Linked DNA regions of Sus scrofa. The main gene of each other region encodes a partner of the protein of the gene in region 2 in a complex. Links are inferred from orthologs where the notes say so. Each region holds a gene or a part of one and is shown on either strand. Other genes may lie near its edges.

What was found.
Region 1: the proteins of MIOS (region 2) and CASTOR1 are in contact, whole or in part, in a cryo-EM structure (PDB 9LVK), measured with the Homo sapiens proteins. The link is inferred for Sus scrofa from reciprocal best matches to the Homo sapiens genes MIOS and CASTOR1. Residues at the interface, in NP_001357005.1 of Homo sapiens: Ala83, Asn84, Val109, Pro110, Lys111, His112, Ala113, Arg114, Asp134, Lys135, His136, Arg137, Asn184; in NP_001032755.1 of Homo sapiens: Val94, Ser116, Thr117, Tyr118, Gln119, Thr120, Asp121, Thr188, Tyr236, Leu255, Thr256, Ser257, Ser258, Ala295, Tyr296.

Annotation. Positions count from the first base shown.
Region 1 is NC_010456.5:47,261,112-47,271,189, forward strand, and holds CASTOR1 (GATS-like protein 3), read right to left. Parts: upstream 5,619-10,078; 5' UTR 5,447-5,618; coding exon 5,334-5,446; intron 5,320-5,333; exon of another isoform or gene 4,967-5,319; intron 4,750-4,966; coding exon 4,679-4,749; intron 3,242-4,678; coding exon 2,837-3,241; intron 2,570-2,836; coding exon 2,446-2,569; exon of another isoform or gene 2,179-2,445; intron 2,010-2,178; coding exon 1,896-2,009; intron 1,732-1,895; coding exon 1,649-1,731; intron 1,558-1,648; coding exon 1,463-1,557; intron 1,333-1,462; coding exon 1,264-1,332; 3' UTR 794-1,263; downstream 1-793. Other genes in the region: TBC1D10A (TBC1 domain family member 10A), read right to left, coding at 8,332-8,817, 9,334-9,488, 9,582-9,771. UniProt on the Homo sapiens protein: Functions as an intracellular arginine sensor within the amino acid-sensing branch of the TORC1 signaling pathway. As a homodimer or a heterodimer with CASTOR2, binds and inhibits the GATOR subcomplex GATOR2 and thereby mTORC1.
Region 2 is NC_010451.4:77,876,938-77,886,457, forward strand, and holds part of MIOS (WD repeat-containing protein mio), read left to right. Parts: intron 1-3,623; coding exon 3,624-3,776; intron 3,777-5,485; coding exon 5,486-5,690; intron 5,691-9,520. UniProt on the Homo sapiens protein: As a component of the GATOR2 complex, functions as an activator of the amino acid-sensing branch of the mTORC1 signaling pathway. The GATOR2 complex indirectly activates mTORC1 through the inhibition of the GATOR1 subcomplex.

The DNA.
Region 1 (10,078 bases), on a different chromosome or scaffold from region 2:
AGGCGGGCCTAGGCTGAGGGCACCTGATAACCTCCCCAGCGTCTGTGGGGCCCCCTTGGGCCACGGTGGAGTCCCAGCTCACAGAGCGGGGAGGCGGCCCCTCTGTGGCAGGAAACCTGGGCCCAGATGTGTGGAGCCTCTGACCCCAGCATGCGGCCATCACAGGAAGAGTGGGCTCCAGGTGGCCTCCAGGTCCTTGTCCTGTCCTCCCAGCCAGGTGAAGCCCAGCATGTGGGCTCCCAGGTCCCCGCTCTGCCTGGCTCCCTCCTACCACTGCTCCAGTGGGAGCTCTGGTGGCAAGAACTGATCAGTCTCCTGTGAGGGACAGCCAGAACTCAGGTGTGGTCCAAAAGAAAGCAGGCAGCAGCCTGGAGAAAAGGTGCTTTGGGGCCCCCCTTAAGGGTGTTTTGCAACAGGCCAGCCACACCCAAGGTGGCAAGGAGCCTGGGGGAGCTCCAAGCAGGAAGGTCCAGGAGCCTCTGCCCCTGTTCTGAACCGTGTAGACTATTCAAAAGCAGCAAGAAATGAAGAAAGTGACTGGACCCCAGAGCCAGGCAGCCCTGACAGGAACCATAGGACCCTGGCTAAGTCACTCCACCTCCCACCTCTGGTCCTTCATCTGGAGAATGGCAATGGTTCACCTACGCTCTGGAGGTGAGAATGGTGGGAGGTGAGGCGATCCCGGCCTGAGCCAGCTGCACAGGGAGAGTCCAGGATCTCAGGCAGAGGGGCCCCCAGGGGCAGCAAAGTAGCTGTGGCCAAGGCTTGAACAACCCCAAAGACCACAGCCCAGCCCACTCACTACAAGCTCTTTATTAACAAGTTGATAAAAAAAGGAAGAGAGAGAGAGATGTAAAAATACTTCTGGTGGTCCCAGGAAGGGGAGGCACTTGTCAGAACTCACCTGGCCAGGGAAGGCAACCCCCAGCCCGAGGCAGAACGGAGATCAGGGCCCTGTCCAGGAGCAGCCAGCCAGACGGGGCTACCGAAAGGGGGAAGGCTTGGGCCTCAGGCAGGGAATGTGCAAACGCCGAGGCCCAGCAGGGAGTGATGGGTTGAGGGCTTCCTGGAGGAAGCCCTGAGCACCGTATTCCCCTGTGGGGGGCAGACACGTGTGTCCACGTGAGAGCCGGTGCTCTGCCCACAGCTTATATACACAGAGCAGAAGGAGGGATCCCCCAGCAGGAATGTCCCAGAGCTTGAGGAAATATTCGAGAAATCTCTGGAAGCCTGAGGGCAAGGGGAGAGGCCGGAGGCTGCTGCTCAGGAGCCCAGGCCCTCCTGCCGGCGCTGGAGGACCTCGATAGCACTGCTGATGCCGTCCTCGGGCACCTGCGGGCAGGTGGACAGAGGAAGGTGTCACGGCTGCTCAACTTCCTGGCCTGACTGGGACCACCTCCTGGGCCCCCTCCTGGGCCTCAGTGTCCCTGCAGGAGCCCTGGCCCCAGACGGTGGTGCTCACCAAGGCATGGTCGAAGTTGAAGGTACTGATGTAGTAGGCAGAGATGTCAGCCGCAGCCAGGGGACCTGCAATCTGGGCCACGATCCCACACTCATCTGAGGGTGGAGGAGGGGGTCCATGTGGATCACCCTGATGCCCCCCTCCTGGCCCTTCCCAAGCCCCCGACACACAAGGTGCAGCCCTCACCAAAGCCCAGGGGCTGTCCGCCGATGCGCACCATCCTCCACAGCTCCCCCGAGGAGCTGGTCAGCAGCAGGTCACTGGGGAACCTGGGGAGGCAGGGGTGGTGGGCAGGGTACCCTGTCTCTTCCTTGCCCCACTGTGAGCCCCCAGAGCAGATCAGCCTGATGACCTTGGAGTCTGATGTTCCACCTCCTTCCTCTTAGGGACTGGCTTAGGGTCTGTGGCCCACCTGGGGTCAGGGGTCACGTACTTTTTCTGTGTCTCAGCATCCATGACAATGGAGATGTAGCCCTCGATGAGGGAGAAAGCAAAGAAGGTGATGGAGCTGGATCCAGGACTGCCAGAGGCTGCCTCCTTAGGGCCACTGGGAAGGGATAGGAGGCTCAGGCACTCTTCCCTCTCCCTCTCTGCCCAGTGGGCCTCTAGACCCCTGGGAAGGGGCTGGCACAGGTGGCCCTGGGAAGATGCTCATGTCCCTGAGCCACTTTCCTCCCCATGCCATGGGTAGGGATGGGGGAGGAGGATGAACCTACTTGTGCCAAAGATGCAGGATCCCAGGACCACAGGGCCTGACCAGGGCACACTTCAGGAGTAGCTCTGCCCACCCCAAAGGGAAGGGCTCCAGCTGCAGCACCAGGACCTTGCCTGAACCTCAGTGAAGGGCCTGTGGGCACTGCAGGCTGCCAGGAACCCCAGACATGGAACAGGGTACAGCACTGCAGAGCCAAGGGACTGGTGGAAGGTGGTGGGACAAAGCGTAGGGAACAAGCTGTGAGATCAAAGAGACAAACAAGGCCCACCTGTGCGAGTAGAAGAGGACATCGATGAGGGTGGTGGCGATGGCTGGCAGTGTCTCAGGGTCCAGCGTGAGGACACAGAAGCGGTTCTGTGGGCTCTGGATGGGATGCACTGTGGGGCTGGGCCCTGCTCAGGGAGCAGGTGGTGGTGGGTGAAAGGGAGACTGTGGGCTGGAGTGCCCCCTGGTGGCCAGCCAGAAAGGGGGCCTGGGCTAGGTGTAGGGTCACTTGCTACATACCGGAATCTGCCTTAGTTTCCCTGCCGTGTCTCCCTATCTTGTGAGGGGGTCAGTGTCAGCTGGTCTCCCCAAGCCCACAGACCCACCCACAAAGGGAAGGGCCCCAGTGGGAAGAGGAGCCCCCACCAGGCCTGGGTGTCAGAGGTGACCCTCACCATGCTGGGCACGGGGAAAGCCGTTGCTGGAATCATCCCTGGCAACAGGAACAGGCTCCCCGCCCACCTCTCGGTAGATATCAAATTCCTGGGCCAGTGTGTGGATCACCACGGATAGGTCCTGCTCCCGCACCTGGGCCACAAAGATGACACAATACACGGGTCCCCAGGCACCCGTGTCCACCCTGCCTTGCCCCAGCACCTGCAGGAAACTCACCAGGATGAAGTCTGTCTGGTAGGTGGACAGCATCAGCACGGACACGTGGTGCTCAGCCAGCGGTGCAATTACTGAGCGGGCAATCTTGGTGACCCCAGCAGCCTGCACTGCTGTGCCGCTGTGGGATGACACATTCAGCACTAGCCACGTGGCCTCGGCCACTTGTAGGAACTCAGACGTGGGCAGCTCTGTGGGGCAGGGGGACACACCCAGTCAGGGCCTGTAGGGCTGGCCCCTGGCCTCAGTTTCCCTGTCTGCGCTTTGGAGGGCTCTACCAAGGTAAGGTCCACTCTGGAAAATAGAGCTGTCCTCCTCCCCCAAGTTCTGCTCCTGAGACCTGCATATATGCAAAGACTGAGAAGTGCTTTGGGTGTTGGCCTGTCAGGGATTGAAACTTCCCAGTTAAAATGGAAGCTTGGAGTTCCCGTCGTGGCACAGTGGTTAATGAATCTGATTAGGAACCATGAGGTTGCAGGTTCGATTCCTGGCCTTGCTCTGTGGGTTAAGAATCTGGCGTTGCTGTGAGCTGTGGCATAGTTTGCAGACGCGGCTCAGATCCTGAGTTGCTGTGGCTCTGGCGCAGGCTGGTGGCTACAGCTCTGATTAGACCCCTAGCCTGGGAACTTCCATATGCTGCGGGAGTGGCCCTAGAAAAGGTAAAAAATAAAATAATAAAATAAAATTGGAGCTCAAAATTCAGACAGACCTGGGTTTTAATCCCAGCTTCATCATTTACTTTCTGTTGACCTGTGGCAAATGATTTAACTTCTGAGAGCCTGTTTCTCCTACAGAAACTGAGTATGTATGCACTGAGTATCAGAGGCCTTACACCATGTGGTACCACCAGGGGGAGCCAGCAGTCCAAGTTGGCTGGGAGATGCCTTCCTCGTTAGCAGACCCAGACTTTTCCGCAGCATAAATAGGGAAACTAAGTAGCCCTGTAGGGGAGGGAGGGAGCCCCAGCTGGCTGGCCAGAGACTCCAGGCCTGTAAGGATGGGTCAAGCTGGCAGGAGAGAAGCCAGATATCAGCTCCAGGGATCAGGGAGGGACCAGGCTGGTGTCCAGTCCAGCACATGGGCCACAGCCAAGGTGGCTGCTAATCGCCCAAACACAGCTAGGAGGCCCCGTAGGATCCTGCCCTGGGCTGGCTGCCGGCTCCTGCATTCCTTCCCCAACCCTCAGACTCTCGGAGTTCCCAGACCAGTCAGGGAGGGAGTGACCCACACCAGGGAGTGAAGCCCAAGGGGAAATAATGGGGTGGGGGGCAAGAACAGCCACAGAAGCCTGATTCTTGCCCCAGAGCTGTAACTGAGGCCCTGCTGCTGGTCTGTGGCTGCTAAATGCCCTTTACACACTGCCCCATTTATAAAACCCTCATGGGGCCAAATAGATCAGAACCGTAACTATATCCATTTTACATAAAACGAAATAAACAACTCAGAGAGGGGAAGTGACTTGATCAAGGGCACACAGCCAGTGAGTAGTGGAAATGGACTGGAACCCAGATCATCTGCCTTCAGGGCCCCAACTCTTGGTACATTAGATCCTAGCATTCTCTTAGAATCCTGCAAAAAGGGGAGGACAACCTCCTTCCCCTACTCACCCTCCCCAGCCCAGTCCCCACCTTTGAAGCCCTCCTCGTCCACCATGAGCGTGTAATCCTCAGGGGTCTCCGTCAGGCTGAAGAATTTGCACCTGGGTGGGGGCAGGGAGCATCTTCAGCCTGGGTGGGCGGAGGGGGCGGGCAGACACCCCCCACCCCGGCTGGGCGTCTCCCTGCCCCCTCCAGACTCAATTTCCTCCCCAGAACAGTGGGGCGTGGGCCCCATCTCCAGAATTGCGAACCGTTTTCCTCCGCCCAGATCTCTGCAGAAGCCCCTGCCCAGCATTCCAAGAGGAAGGAGAGGCTCACCCAAGGCGGCAGTCCCGGGCGTCCGAGCCCCCTTAGACCAGCCCCTCTGACCCGATGAGAGGCAGCTGGAAAAAGTTCTCCGAAGTTGCCAGGAAGAAATGCCCCCATGTGAAACCACTAGGAGTTAAGCACTGACCATCCCAGGCTGTCTGCGCCTTAACAAGCTCTGTGAGGGGGCCTCACGAGCCGGATAGGCGGCGGTCCCAGGGAGGGTAGGCCCAGGCCGGATGGCGGCGGTGGGGAGCGGGGGGCGGGGAGCGCTCTCCCTGTCTGCTCCCGCTGGCCCCGCGGAGGTCCTAATCTCCCGATCCCATCTCAGAGTGACAGTGCAGCCCACCCCCCTCTGTGCCCGGACCCGGACGCGCACCGGCTTCGGCGGGGCAGGAAGAGCAGCTTGATGAGTGGGTGAGTGTAGAGCCAGAGACCGGGCCGGGCGAGGCTCAGCACCCGCACCCGGTGCTCTAGGATGTGCAGCTCCATCGCGGTCCGCGCGGACCCGACCCCACGGCCAAACAGACCCAGGCCGTGCCGGGGGCGGGGCGGCGGGGGCGGTGCCGGGAGGTGCTTAAAGGAGCCGCTGCGCCGCAGAGTCCTAGCCGCCAGCCACGCCAGCTCCCTGACGGCCACGCCGCGCAGGACTGGGGGCCAATCCAGGGTGGCCACGCCTCCTTGTAACGCTAGAGACTCACTCCGCCCCTTATGGCCCCGCCCCTTCGGCATTGGCTCCGGAATCACCACCTAACCCCACCCCCGTCGCGTCCTCCAGGCCCCGCCCATGCCTCTCCCCCACTCCGGGCTCCGCCCTTTCCGCAGGACTCCCGCAGCTGCTCCGGAGAGCCCGGGGAGGCTTGGGGTCTTTTCTGCACTAAGGGCCTTCTGATTAAGTTCACCAAGGCTTGGGAGGGCCACAAGATGAACCGGGGCTCGGCTGTGACCAGAACACTGCTCCCAAATCCTTGAAACATGGGTGGGTAGGGGTCCACTGTGCAACCTAGGAGACGTTGTTGTTCTGTCCCAATAAAGGGTCCTGGCACCTTTCCCTCTCCTTCCTCTGATGGCTTAGCATGAGGCAGGGCCACCAGAACTGGCTGGGGTGGCAGTGAAAAAAGTTCCACAGCCCAGGATAGCACTGATACAAACCCCTCCAAGCTTTGTGAGCCCTGTGAGTGGGCTAACAAGATGAAACCCAACCTGAACTTGGTGGTCCCCACATCTGTTCCTCTCACCCACCTTTCAGAGTAGAAGGCTCCCCACCAGAATCAAAGATGGGGAGGGCCCCAGCTACCTCTGAGCAATACACTGTAGGGTAGGGAGCTGAAGGTAGTCTGGACTAACATTTGAGGCTTAAGACTTAAGTATTTGGGACAGGAATGCCCAAAGCTCAAACTTTGGGGGGCAGGGCCATGCATCCAGAGCCCAGTGTGTAGTCAGACTTAAAAGCCTACAGTCATTAGAACTTGGGCCTGAGCACATTTAAGCTTGTTTCATGTCCAAGGAGGCCCCCAGATCTGAAGCTTGTTAGTGCCACCTTGGGTTCATTTCAACATTAGGGCTGGGGTCTGCTCAGGCCTCTCAGGTTTGCAAAGACCCCAGTGCTGAGCAGACATCAGCACACCTAGGTTGGTTTCCCAGCAGGATGGGACATGTTCCAGGGGCCCTTGCCTGGCCTGCACATCCTCAGGCCTCAGATCCAAGGCTTTGAACCAAGCAGGTTAAAGCAGGCCTCAGGCCTGATTGGGTCCCAGCAGGCCTGAGCAGGCCTCCTACCTGCTGGGGCGGGCGGGCGTGGGGTGGGGGGTGGCGGCAATTGCACGCAGCTAGTAGTGGGGCAGCACCTTCCCTCCCTGGACTCACCAGTTTGGTGGGTTCTGCTGGAACACTGCAGCCACCACATCCTGGCCAGACCCCTAGAGGGCCAGGGGGTGGGAGGTGTCCTCAGGAGGCTGAGCCCCTCATCTGGTTGACGGCAGGTGTACATGGGGTAGGAAGCCACAGGGGTAAGGGGCAGGAGGTAGGAAGGGTGTGGTTTGCCCTGACAGATTCATGTGACCCTTGACCTCCTCAGGCCTCAGTATCCCCAGCTGTACCAGGACAAGATGTTCCAGGCTGAGGCCCTGAGATGCTTAAAAGCTCCCAGGGAGGCTCTAGTCCTGCCTCCCTGCTCCCCCATTGCCCAGCCCAGCTTGGTGGCCAGCCAAGAACAGTCACTATTGTTTGACTGGAAAAGCTGCTTCCTCAGCAGAAGGGGGGCCTCTCCCAGGGACACCCTGTCCTCACCCTTGCCAGTCATCAGCTATGACACTACTGCCAACTTGGGCCTTCAATGGCAAAGTCAGGAGAGGTAGTTGGGGGCTCTGGGTACAAATCTGGATCAGCTTCATTTTTCCCACTTAGCTCCTGTTTCCTTATCCATAAAAGGGGGACAATAATAAAACCTACCTGATCAGGCATGTGACACAACCAGCCCAGCCTGGCATATGCTACATGGCAGGTAGCCTTTCATCAAAGATACAGATTTGGCCCCACACCCCTTTGCTTTTGATGGAGGCCTGGGATGAGCATGTGAGGGCATTCATGATCCCTCACTCTTGGCACCAGCACCCAACCCAGAATGAATACTCATTACCTTATTGGGGTCCAAAATAGCATCCAGGCTAGACCTTAGAAGAGGAAGACCCTTAAAAGGACCTCCCTAAGGAACCCCTCCCCTTCGGTGATGGGCAGGGATCAAGGCCTGGGGAGCAGGCTCTGCTCTGCCCCAGCACTAGTGACCCTCATCCATGGCAGATGGTGAACATGGGTCAGAGGGGACAGGATAAGAGGATACAGGGGCCAGGAATAGGAGCGGGCCCTAGATTTGGCCTCCCCTCTGGCAAAGGTACTTCCCAGAAAGGCTCTAGTGCTGCACTAGGACCAGGATGGGGCCTCTGCAGGGTATGGAGAAGAATGCTGAGCACAGCGGGGGTCGGGGAACAGACCCCCCTCTCCAGTCCCTAGCTGCACACCAGCTCTCTACACAAGCCTGTTTATTTCTGTACAAAACCATGTTTCTATTTTACACAAAGAGCACCCCACCCTTTATCCCTCCCTCTCCCCTCACATCAGTGCCCTGGTCCCGGAGAACATGCCTCCAGGAGGAGGGGGCCAAACAAGGCCTCACCCACTTCTGCCTGCCCCAGCTGGGCCTGCCCAAGCTCCACTCTGGAGAAAATAAATAAGGAGGCTCAGGCAGAATCTGTGCTGGGCCAGCCAGACTCCCTGCCGACCAGGCGACCGGGCCCTCAGAGGGTGGGCAGGCCCTGAAGTCAGTCCATGTACTGTATAGGTGTGTGGAGACCCCAGCCCCGGGGCCTGAGCTGCCATGGTTACAAGTAGGTGTCCTCACTCTCCTGGGATGTCAGGCTCTCCTGGGAGCGGTGGTGGGCTGTGTCCTGGGGAGCTGAGTCTTGAGGGGCTGGGTCCTGGTGGCCTGGGTCCTTCGAGGGCACATCCTGTGGGGGACATGCATCTCCAGCAGCGGCCACCACTTTGGCTTGACTTGTGGTTGTGGGCTTGTCTGGCTGCCCACTCGCCTTCGCCTGCTTCCGCTGTTCCTTCTGCTCCTTCTGGACCTGCTTGGATGGCTTGGACTTGCCTTTGGAGCCAGGGAGGGGGGCGTCCGGAGGCAGGCGGATGGATGGTGAAGGCTGCAAGGTGGGCCATGGGCCAGGCTCTGCCTCCAGGATGGCCTTGGCGCCGTGCAGCCTGGGCGACGAGTGGCACTGCAGTTCACCCCGGGTCTCCTGCCAGCGCCGCAGCTGGATGAGGTGCTCGCGCTCAATCTGGCGCTCTGTCACTGACAACTCTACCACCTGTAGGGGTGGTGACAGGCAGGTGGGCACCAGGAAGAAGAACCTTCCCCTTCTGCCCCCCAGCCTGGGCCCCTGCTCTCCCTCAGCTGTCCCAGCCCTGGTCACTAAAGTAGTGGTGGTCAAAAGTCCCTGAGTGCCAGGTGAGCCAGGAGTTTTATACTCACTGCCTCAGAGGAGAAAACTCCCCACAACTCTTGAGTCTACTTGCCTAACTATGTGTCACCCCATTTCAGCCCCAGATACAAATCCACAATGGAAAGAAAAAAAAGGGAAAATAAAGCAAAACCATGGTTATGGAGCCAGGGAGGAAGGGGGGTGATGAGCTGCATCTACTCATATTCCTGAAGACCTAGGCCTCTCTGTGCCTGTTCTTCTCATGCAGACAGAAGGATGAGATCTGTGCACAATCCTGGGCTGCTGAGCACCAGGCCTTGGGGGCAGAGGGCTACCAGGCCCTCAAAAGACCCTCATGTCTTCCCCTCCCTCCCAGTGGTGGGGGGAAGATGTGGACTGTACCTCCTGGACCAGGAAGGCCTCCTCCATGATCTTGGGGCTGAGGCTCCTCAGCCGCTCAATGGTCTCGTACTGGCCCTGGCAGGCTTTGAGCTTCTCGGGGGAGCCCAGCGCATGCTTCAGCAGCACCAACCCCACCCGGAAGATGATCTTGACTCCTGCATGGAGAGCCAGCAGTGAGTGCGAGGGGCCCTTTAGGGAGTTTCTCTAGAAATAGAGGCCCTCATGGGCTGGACTAGGGACAGAGGTACCTTCGCAGAAGAACATGTCCCAGACACGCAGCACGGAGCTCCAGGGTAAGGTGCGGGCGAAGGCACACATGAACCACTCTGTCATGTAGAGCAAGGGGTCAATCTTCTGCTGGCTGAGGTGCTTGTGGGCCACAGGAGACACCTTCTGGAGCAGCGAGAAGAGGATCTCCCCATCCAGCTGGATGGCCTCCTGGGGAGACATGAAGCCACCGGACTGTGGGACCACAGCAGCCAAGGTGGGAAGGATGTCCCAGCTCCCAACTCCAGGCAGGCATTCATCCCTTCCTCAGGAAGCAAACACTATAGGGTGCCAACCTCATGCTGGGTGCTGGGATACAAAGGTGAGCAATCCAGACACAGCTGGTCCCCCTCATGGAGCATGTAGAGCAAAGGGGCAGAGAGACAGAAATCACAGAAGCAAAGAGACGAGGGGAGGGGCCTAAGTGCCCAGAACATGGCAGGAACAGGAACACTGGGTAAGCGTGTGCCAGAGGTCC
Region 2 (9,520 bases):
TGGTCAAGATTTAATCTGCCATCTTGTTTTCCCTTCTCTCTTTTGTTTTTCTCTTCCTTTCTTGCATTCCTTAGGGCTAATTAAATATTTTAGTATTTCATTTTATTTCATCTATTGACTTTGTAGCTCTACCCCTTTTCATTATCTTCTTCCTTATTTTAAGTAGTTGCTCTGTGTCTAACAATATGCATCCTTAACTCATCAGTCAACATTTACCTCCTCATACTTTACATTTCACACCTGATACATCATGCTTCCTACTTCACCCTTTCTCCTTCTTATCCCACAACTGATACTTTCCACGTTTTGCTTCATATTTCACCCTTAAAACATATTATAACATTGCAACTCCATTTACAAATCCTCCTTTTCTATCCTATTGTCATGTGTTTTTTTTTTTGTTTGTTTTTTTTTTTTTTGTCTTTTTTGTTGTTGTTGTTGTTGTTGTTGTTGCTATTTCTTGGGCCGCTCCCGTGGCATATGGAGGTTCCCAGGCTAGGGGTCCAATCGGAGCTGTAGCCACCGGCCTACGCCAGAGCCACAGCAACGCGGGATCCGAGCCGCGTCTACAACCTACACCACAGCTCACGGCAACACCGGATCGTTAACCCACTGAGCAAGGGCAGGGACCGAACCCGCAACCTCATGGTTCCTAGTCGGATTCGTTAACCACTGCGCCATGACGGGAACTCCTGTCATGTGTTTTATTTCTACATACATTATAAACCTCAGCTTACAGTGTTACTATTTTTGCTTTGAACAGTCATTTGTCTTTGATATCAATTATGTGAAGAATGAAAACACGGACTTTTATATTTATTTACTTATGTACCATACCTGGTGCTGTTTATTCCTTACAGTTGACGCAAATTTCACCTCATATCATTTCCCTTTGGTCTCTCTCTTTAGCATTTCTTATGGTTCAGATTTACTGGTGATGGATTCTCTCAGCTTAATCTTAATTGAAAATGTCTATTTCACTTTTTTTTTTTGCTCATTTTCTTTCAGCACTTTATTTTTTTTATTTTAAGCAGTTTCACATTGATGCCTAAGTATGGTTCTTTTTATCCTGCTTGTGAGTCACTGAACTTCTTGGATTTGCATGTTAAAGTTTTTCGTCAAATTTGGGAAGTTTTTTGACATGATTTCTTTAAATATTTTTCTCTGCCTCTATCTCATTCTCTTTCCCTTCTTGGACTATTATTACATGTATATTAAACCATTTCTTATTGTCCCATAGGTATCTGAGGCTCTGTTCATTTTCTTTTTTTCTTTGTTCTTTAAATTGGATAGATTCTGTTGACTTGTTACTTGGCTGGCTATTCTGTCACCTTCCATCTGTTAGGTTTTGCAGGGAATTCTTAATTTCAGTTACTGTATTTTTTAGTTCTAGAGTCTCAATTTTTTTTCTTTTTCTTTTTTCTTTTTATGGCCGCACCTGTGGCATATGGAGGTTCCTGGGCTAAGAGTCAAATTGGAGCTGCAGTTGCCAGCCTACACCACAGCTCATGGCAATGCTGGATCCTTAAACCCACTGAGTGAAGCCAGAGATTGAACCTGCATCCTCACAGACACTCCGTTGGGTTCTTCACCTGCTGAGAAACTCCTCTGTTTTTTTAATAGTTTACATTTTTCAGCTTTGATCCCTCTGTTGGCTAATTAAAACACTGTTTTCATTTAAGTCTGAATACATGTCTAATAGATGCATTGAGGTCTTTGCTTACTCTAACATAAGAACTATTTAAGATTTAGTTGTTGTGACTGCTTTTCTCTTTACTTTGAACCACATTTACCTCCTTCTTTATGTATCTAGTGATTTTTCGTTGAATATTGGACATTGCAGTAGATTATAGAGATATGGGTTCTTTCCCCTTTTCTTCTGAAGAGTGTTGGTTTATGCTTTTGGAAATTCAGTTACTTGTTTATCACTTTGGTCTTAGATTTTGTTTCTGTGGAAAGCCTATAGTATTTCCTAAGCCCTTCTAGCATGGTCAGACTTAATCTCTGAACTGTTTTCTCTGCAGACTTTGTCAGAACTTGATTTTAAGTTTTATCAAGGTAACTTACCAAATATGAATTGACCAAATCCTTTCTTAGTTTATCCTTATTGCCGTGGGAGGGGAAAGAGTAGGGCATGAAGATTTCTGATTTTTCTGTGAATTTTCTTTCTATATCAAGGATTGTATTATAGTTTAGTACTTAGTTCTGGCTAGTTTGTCATAATTGAGACTACAGTAGGTGTTTACTTTTTTAAGAAATGAAATTGTCAACTATGAGTTTCTCATGTGTTCTTTTAACTAAATTTAACTCTGGTAATTGCAATTAGTACTTAATTACTAGGTGAAAGATATGCTCCTTCTATCTGATGGAATGATTAAAGGTAGATTTTATTTATTAGCTGTTATAGGTTTCTTCCCATTTTCCATAAGATGTATGCTTAGTTCTCGCTATCATTTTACTTTCTCTGTGGCCCCAAAGAGGACTGGGAAAACTTGGCTTCAGATTAATGCCCATTGAATCAAGGGGGTAAAGACTTCGCTATTTTCTTCATCATGTGAAGATAAGCATGATATCCTGAACGAAGCTAAAAGCATTCTATGAAAACCCAAAGCAAGCATAGGGGAAATATTTACTGTCACAGCTGCCAGGGAAAATATAGCTTTAGGGAGTTCTCGTTGTGGCTCAGCAGTAACAAAACCTGCTAGTATCCACAAGGATGGGGGTTCAATCCTTGGCCTTGCTTAGCAGGTTAAGGATCCAGCGTTGCTGCAAGCTGTGGCATAGGTCACAGACATAGCTGCATTGCTGTGATTGTGGCATAGGCCAGCAGCTGCAGCTCTGATTCAGTCCCTAGCCTGGGAACTTCCATAGGCCGAAGGTGTGGCCCTAAAAAGACAAAAAAAGAAGGAAAACAAAATATAGCTTTAGGGAAATTTTTAGTAGCAGGAAATTGAAGTTCTTAATGAGAAGGGATATAGAGTAAATTTAGGGAAAGAAATTGTTGCTTTTCACTGTGGCCTAGAGGCAAAAGAACTAAATAGTTTGGTTTCAATTTTGGGGTTTTTTTCTTTTTTTTTTGTTTTTTAATTGTTAAGGTGATAAATTTATGTTTAATTGAGGGCTATAGACAGAATGGACAGGTTTAACTTTCATATAAATAGGTTTACAGAAAAAGCATCTCAATTCATAATGCATTGCTAGATATGAAGGACCAGGCTCAGTATTATTTTAAATGTGATTAAGCAATTTTAGTGTGTATTTGAATGAAATAGTAAATGTATTTTGTGAACCTAGAGGTTTTGGTTGTTGGGACAAAGAGTATTCATGTCACTTGTTACTGCGTTCAACCAGGAAGGTGAATTGATTGCTCTTAGGTCTTTAAACTTAAATAAGATAAAATTAACTTCCCTAGCCAGTGCATATTCATGTCATTAGTAGAGGCCAGCTTAAAGTAAATTAATGGAACGTCCATCATTTAATATGTCTATATCCTGATTAGGAGCCAGCTTTTGGCAAAAAGGAGGCCTATTTTTTCCCGAGTTACTCAGATTCATGTTACCTAGAATCTTCAGCCTTAACCAGGAATATTTAAAAAACTGAAATAATTCATGTTTTCTTTTTAGGGTTCTCCTTTAGATGTTCTTAAAGATGAAAGAGTTCAGTATTGGATTGAGAATTACAGAAATTTATTGGATGCCTGGAGGTTTTGGCACAAACGAGCTGAATTTGATATTCACAGGAGTAAGTTGGATCCCAGTTCTAAGCCTTTAGCACAGGTAAGTAAATTGTTTTGGAGAACATCAAACTGTAACATGTACCTAATATCCCAGCAAAAAATTAGAAATGTTTACAGTGTGTTATATAGAATAATTTGAGAGTTCACTTTAATACGTTATTATTAATAAACTCATCTTTCATTCATGTTGAATTCCCATTTATGTCTCTCTCCATCCCAGACTGCACTTTCGTTAATCTTGCTGGTTTTTTTCATCCTGCCACTTCCTAATAATCATCTCAGTGACTTGACCTTTAGTCTGACACAGAGCAAAGCACAGCCAGCCTATAAAATCTTAGGCAAACCTAAATCAATCCTAGGGCTGTCTGCTCTCCCATGTTTCCTAGTATGTTCCAAGCCCTTTTAGAATCTAAACTGTATGATCTTATAAATTCCACTTATGTATTGATTTTTTTCTGTACTGCTTATATGTAATAAGGCAGGAGTTGTTTCTTTAATAGTATATTCATATAAACCTATATGTTTAATTAAACACATGGAAATTTTTTTTCTTCTAGCAATAATTTAAAGACCGTGAGATCAACACACCACTGTGTGTGTGTATAAAACATAGATAAACACCAAGGATTTACTGTGTAACACAGGGAACATATTCAGTATCTTATAATAACATATAATGGAAAAGAATCTGAAAGAGAATATATATCTAACTGAATAACTTTACTGTATACCTAAAACTAACATACTATTGTAAATCAGCTATACTTCAATTAAAAAAAAACGAGATCAGTTATCACATAAAACACTTGACATGAGGTGGCTGTGTCTCAGTTCAGGCATTGAATAGCAGGTATATCCTCAATGTGAGCACTTGATGGTGCTATTTTCTTATTTTAGAAATTTGAAAAATTAGTGTTTATATTAAAACAACCTGAGTGTTAGTAGAATAGCATTATGTGATAATGTTTGTTACTGATCTATATGATAAGTGTTTAAAACCTAGGAATTCAATGTAAAAGTAAAATGAACAATCTCTATTGCTATTATTTTAAAGTTTTAACTATTTACTATTACAGGATCCCTTAATTCCTTTTTATCTTAGGAAATGAGTGTTTTCTTAGTAAGAAAATTTTGTGCAGGAAACTATACCATTGAACTTTGTATTAAAAGTCATATTGGGATATTTTGTAATGTCCAGTGTGAACTCTAAAGTCCTTGTTTTTCAAAAATGTTGGGAATTTGTGTTCCAAGTTTTTCTGCAGATGTCAGTGGTGTTAGGAAGAATATAGCTAAACAAAAGTAACAGAGAAGTACTCAAATAATGTAATTGCTAATTGGAAGTCTTAAATGAGAGCAAGTCATCTTAGCACATAAATTATTTTATAGAATTAAATTAAAATTTTTTTTTTCTTTTTAGGGCCACACCTGCAGCATATGGAAGTTCCTGGGCTAGGGGTCGAATTGGAGCTGCAGCTGCAGGTTTATACCACAGCCACAGCAATGCAGGATCTGAGCCACATCTGTGACCTACACCACAGCTTGTGGCAATTATGGATCCTTAATCCACTGAGCGAGGCCAGTGATCAAACTCACATCCTCACAGACACTATATCAGGTTCTTAACCTGCTGAGCCACAATGGGAACTCCTAAAAAATTTTACAAGCAATTTGTTAGGATCAGTCTTTGATTATTTAAAAATTTTTTTTAAGTTTCAATTATATTTATTCCTTCTTTCATTTGTTTTATAGGTGTTTGTGAGTTGCAATTTTTGTGGGAAGTCTATCTCCTATAGCTGTTCAACTGTGCCCCATCAGGGCAGAGGTTTTAGTCAGTATGGTGTCAGTGGATCACCAACGAAATCTAAAGTCACAAGTTGCCCTGGATGTCGAAAACCCCTTCCTCGATGTGCACTTTGCCTCATTAATATGGGAACACCTGTTTCTAGTTGTCCTGGTATGTCATGTTTCTGCAGTATACTTTTCTGCGCTGAAATTGTTTCTCCATAATTGATTTAATGTTATAAATAAAAGACACTCCAGCTTGAGTTTATATTATTTCTAAGAGCAAGCCACTTTGCTGGCTTGAAGGTTTTTATGTTCTCTATAATTTATAAAATCTACATTTAAAGTAAAATCTATATCCATCATATCTTAGGTAATCTCACAAATGCTAGCCAACTTAAAGTTTATAAGATGAGCTTAAATACTAAATAATCTTATACTATTTTCATATCACTTTTTCTAAGAGGAGCTCCCTCAAATTTTATGTTTAAAAGTCAGAATGGCCTCATTTAGTAACGAATACCTTGTATGCATAAAGAACTTTGGTAGTCTCAGAGCACTTTCACATTTTCTCCAATTTCTTCTTCAAAATCTACCTATGGCAGTACAGAAAGTGTTAACCTAGTGATCAGATACCTTTACTTCTGAGTTTTGGTGTTGCTTCTGCTACATTTGTCAGTTACTGTATAAATATGTGTATGTGTGTATTTAATCATGAGAGATAATAAGGAATATTGTATACTATTTAAAGTAAACATACAGAAGATTTTTGAGAATAATAGATAATTAAACGTAAGATACTTAGTGGCTAGAAATATTTTAGCTTTTATATAACTTGAAAATGATACTGTCACAAAAATTTTAATTAAAAACATTTGAAAATCTGGGACACTGGTAAAAAAATAATTAAAAAAGAACCAGATATGGGAGTTCCCATTGTGGCTTAGCAGAAACAAACCCCACTTAAAAAAACAAAAAAGAAAAGAAACAAACCCAGCTGATACCTCTGAGGATGTGGGCTCCAGACCTGGCCTTGCTCAGTGAGTAAAGGATCCAGTATAACCATGAGCTGTGGTGTTAGTCGCAGATATGGATCAGATTTGGCGTTGCTGTCGCTGTGGTATTAGGCTGACAGTTGCAGCTTTGATTTGACCCCTAGCCTGGGAACTTCCATATGCCACACCTGCAGCCCTTAAAAAAAAAAAAAGCAGATGTAGTATCAGAACTCCTCTTTTAGTTGTGACTCTGTGAATTGAGTCTGTGACACTGGTGACAACAGTCTCTTTAGTAATCTTTCATATGAGGTGCTGGACTGGGAGATCCTTGTTAGTTATGAAATTTTCTATTTCCACTCTGCAGCTGGTTCTTGTGAGTGGTCTATTTTATTGTTTCATTAGTATCTATGAAAGAGATTTGCTGGTATCATTAAGTTATTTTTTTTAAACAAATGCTGTGTGTAATATTTTCAAATGCACATGTTAGTTTTGATTTAAATTTTAATTGAAGATATTTTTATTTTTTATACTGCATGTTGATCACTTTTTTATGGCCTCAATACTAATAAATAGGAAATAACAATTTGGAATAAAAATCTGTACAGTGAAAGAAGAAGGAGGCAAAATATAGTATAAGTAAGTTCTTTGTGATCTGAGATACATGGAATTAGTTCAATTTAATTATTTATTTGGCTCCACTCATGCCACATTGAAGTTCGGAAGCCAGGGATTGAACCCATGCCACAGCAATGACCTGTGCCACAGCACTGACCATGCCAGATCCTTAACTGCTAGGCCACTACGGAATTCCAGAAATAGTTCAATTTAATGCATCTTTTGGATCATAAACCTCAGAAAACTGTAATGGCCAGAGTGCGCTTACTTTTTGCTAGATAATAGTTTTTCAATTTTTTTCTATTTTTGAAATGGGTGAGAAAAGATAAAAGCAATTTTCTAGAATTTGAAAATTAAATCATAAAACATTTTAAGTTTTATGTTATGGAGACTATTAATTTAATGAATATTCAACACCCAGTATATCATATCCTAGCATTTTCTCATATTTGCTTCAAAAAATTTTTTCTAAATTTGCTTCAGTAATAATTCCTTAAATTGATTTGAGTACTTGTTTAAGGCACTAAGTTAAGGCTGACGTACCAGACGTCCTCATGGAGCTCATGGTATACGATGAGCATGGATACCTAACATAAAATGAGATGTTATATTTTCTAGAAAATAGGTACTAGTCCAGAATCTCTTATTTACCATTCCAAAATCTCTTAAAGATCTGAAAAGCCAAAGTTTTGGTTGGCTTTTTTGTTTTTAATGAATTTACCATAATCTCATTTGGTAAAAAATAGCTGTTCAGAATTGACATGAGGTTATTGCAATCTTTCTCTTATTTGTGAACATTCACATGCTTCCCTGCAGAAACACTAATATGTTAATTACAGGATGCTGTTCAGACTTTTCCTGGAGGTGTTATATAATATTTGTTCATTATTTTTCCAGAACCCCAAAATATTCCAAATTCTGAAACATATTTAGCTCTGTGAGGTAAATGAGATAATATAAGAAGACAGTATTGTGAATTTTGAAAGAGGGTAACATACCTTTTCTCTGAATAATGTCTGGGAAACTTCAAAAAGAAGATGCCATTTTAAGCTGGTCCTTTAAAGTTTGGTAGATTTAAATATGTGAATATTTTAGAGAAGCCTGTCAGGTTGTAGAAAAAGAGTAAAAAGCATGAACTAGGGTAAAAAGTTAGTGAAAATGATAAATATAGAGAGGGTATGGGAACTACCAAATGTACTGATGTGACGTGGCCTAGGAAACAGACTCATAGGAAACAGTGTAGGAAAATTAGGGGAGCCTGTGTATGATCTTTAAAGACCATTACTCAGCCAATTACAAAATAATTAACTTTCCTATTTCTTTTTTTTTTTTTTTGGTAAAATCAGAAGAATCTGAATTCCAAAATAAAATAGGACCTAATAGAAATCAAATACTGGCTCATGGCAGTTTAAAGATACAGGTGTATAAACCCCTGTGGTGCTTTACCTCCCTCCATCCATCATGTTTTATGATCCAAATAGCCAGGATTTTCATAAGCTTATTTAACTGAGGGTTGCGAATTTTTACATTCCCTTGTACTTTGAAGCTTGAAGCTCTACTGAAATTGTCACATTGAGTTTATAATTATAAATGTTTATAATGTTTATAACTTGCAAACAGTAATATTTAACATTAAAAATTATAAACATTATTTATTTAACAGTGTATATTTAGTACCTATTGGTCTAAGCGCTGAAACAGTGAACAAAACAAAAATCTCTGCCCTTATAGAGCTTAACTTTTAGATGTGATAAATTTTTTAGAATTGGATTATATAGTAGTTTTTCACCCTTTTATTATTATTACTTAGTTCCTATGTGAAACTCTGGTTAACCTCAACTATTCTGTAGCATTTATCTTCATAATTCACTATAAATCTTTTGAACTTAAAAGGTGTTTGATTTTATTTTTATTTATTTATTTATTTATTTTTGTCTTTTTAGGGCCCCATCTGCGCTATATGGAGGTTCCCAGGCTAAGGGTATAATTGGAGCTGTAGCCGCAGGCCTACACCACAGCCACAGCAACACGGAATTGGAGCCTCATCTGTGACCTACACACAGCTCACAGCAACGCCAGATCCTTTAACCCACTGATCGAGGCCAGGGATGGGACCCACAACTTCATGGTCCCTAGTCAGATTCGTTTCTGCTGTGCCACAACGGGAACTCCAAAAGGTATTTGATTTTAAAAATCCTTTGCACATGGCAGTGAGGTAGACCTGTTATTTTCAGCTTCATCAGAAACGTAAGGATTAATGTGTCCTGGATTCAGTCGGTTTTATCCTTGTATTAGAAGTTACAAAAACAAACAAACAAAAAGTTACAAAAACATAGTGAAAATTCCTAATGAAAACTATACACAAAGGTATAAAATACCCTATCTTTTAAAG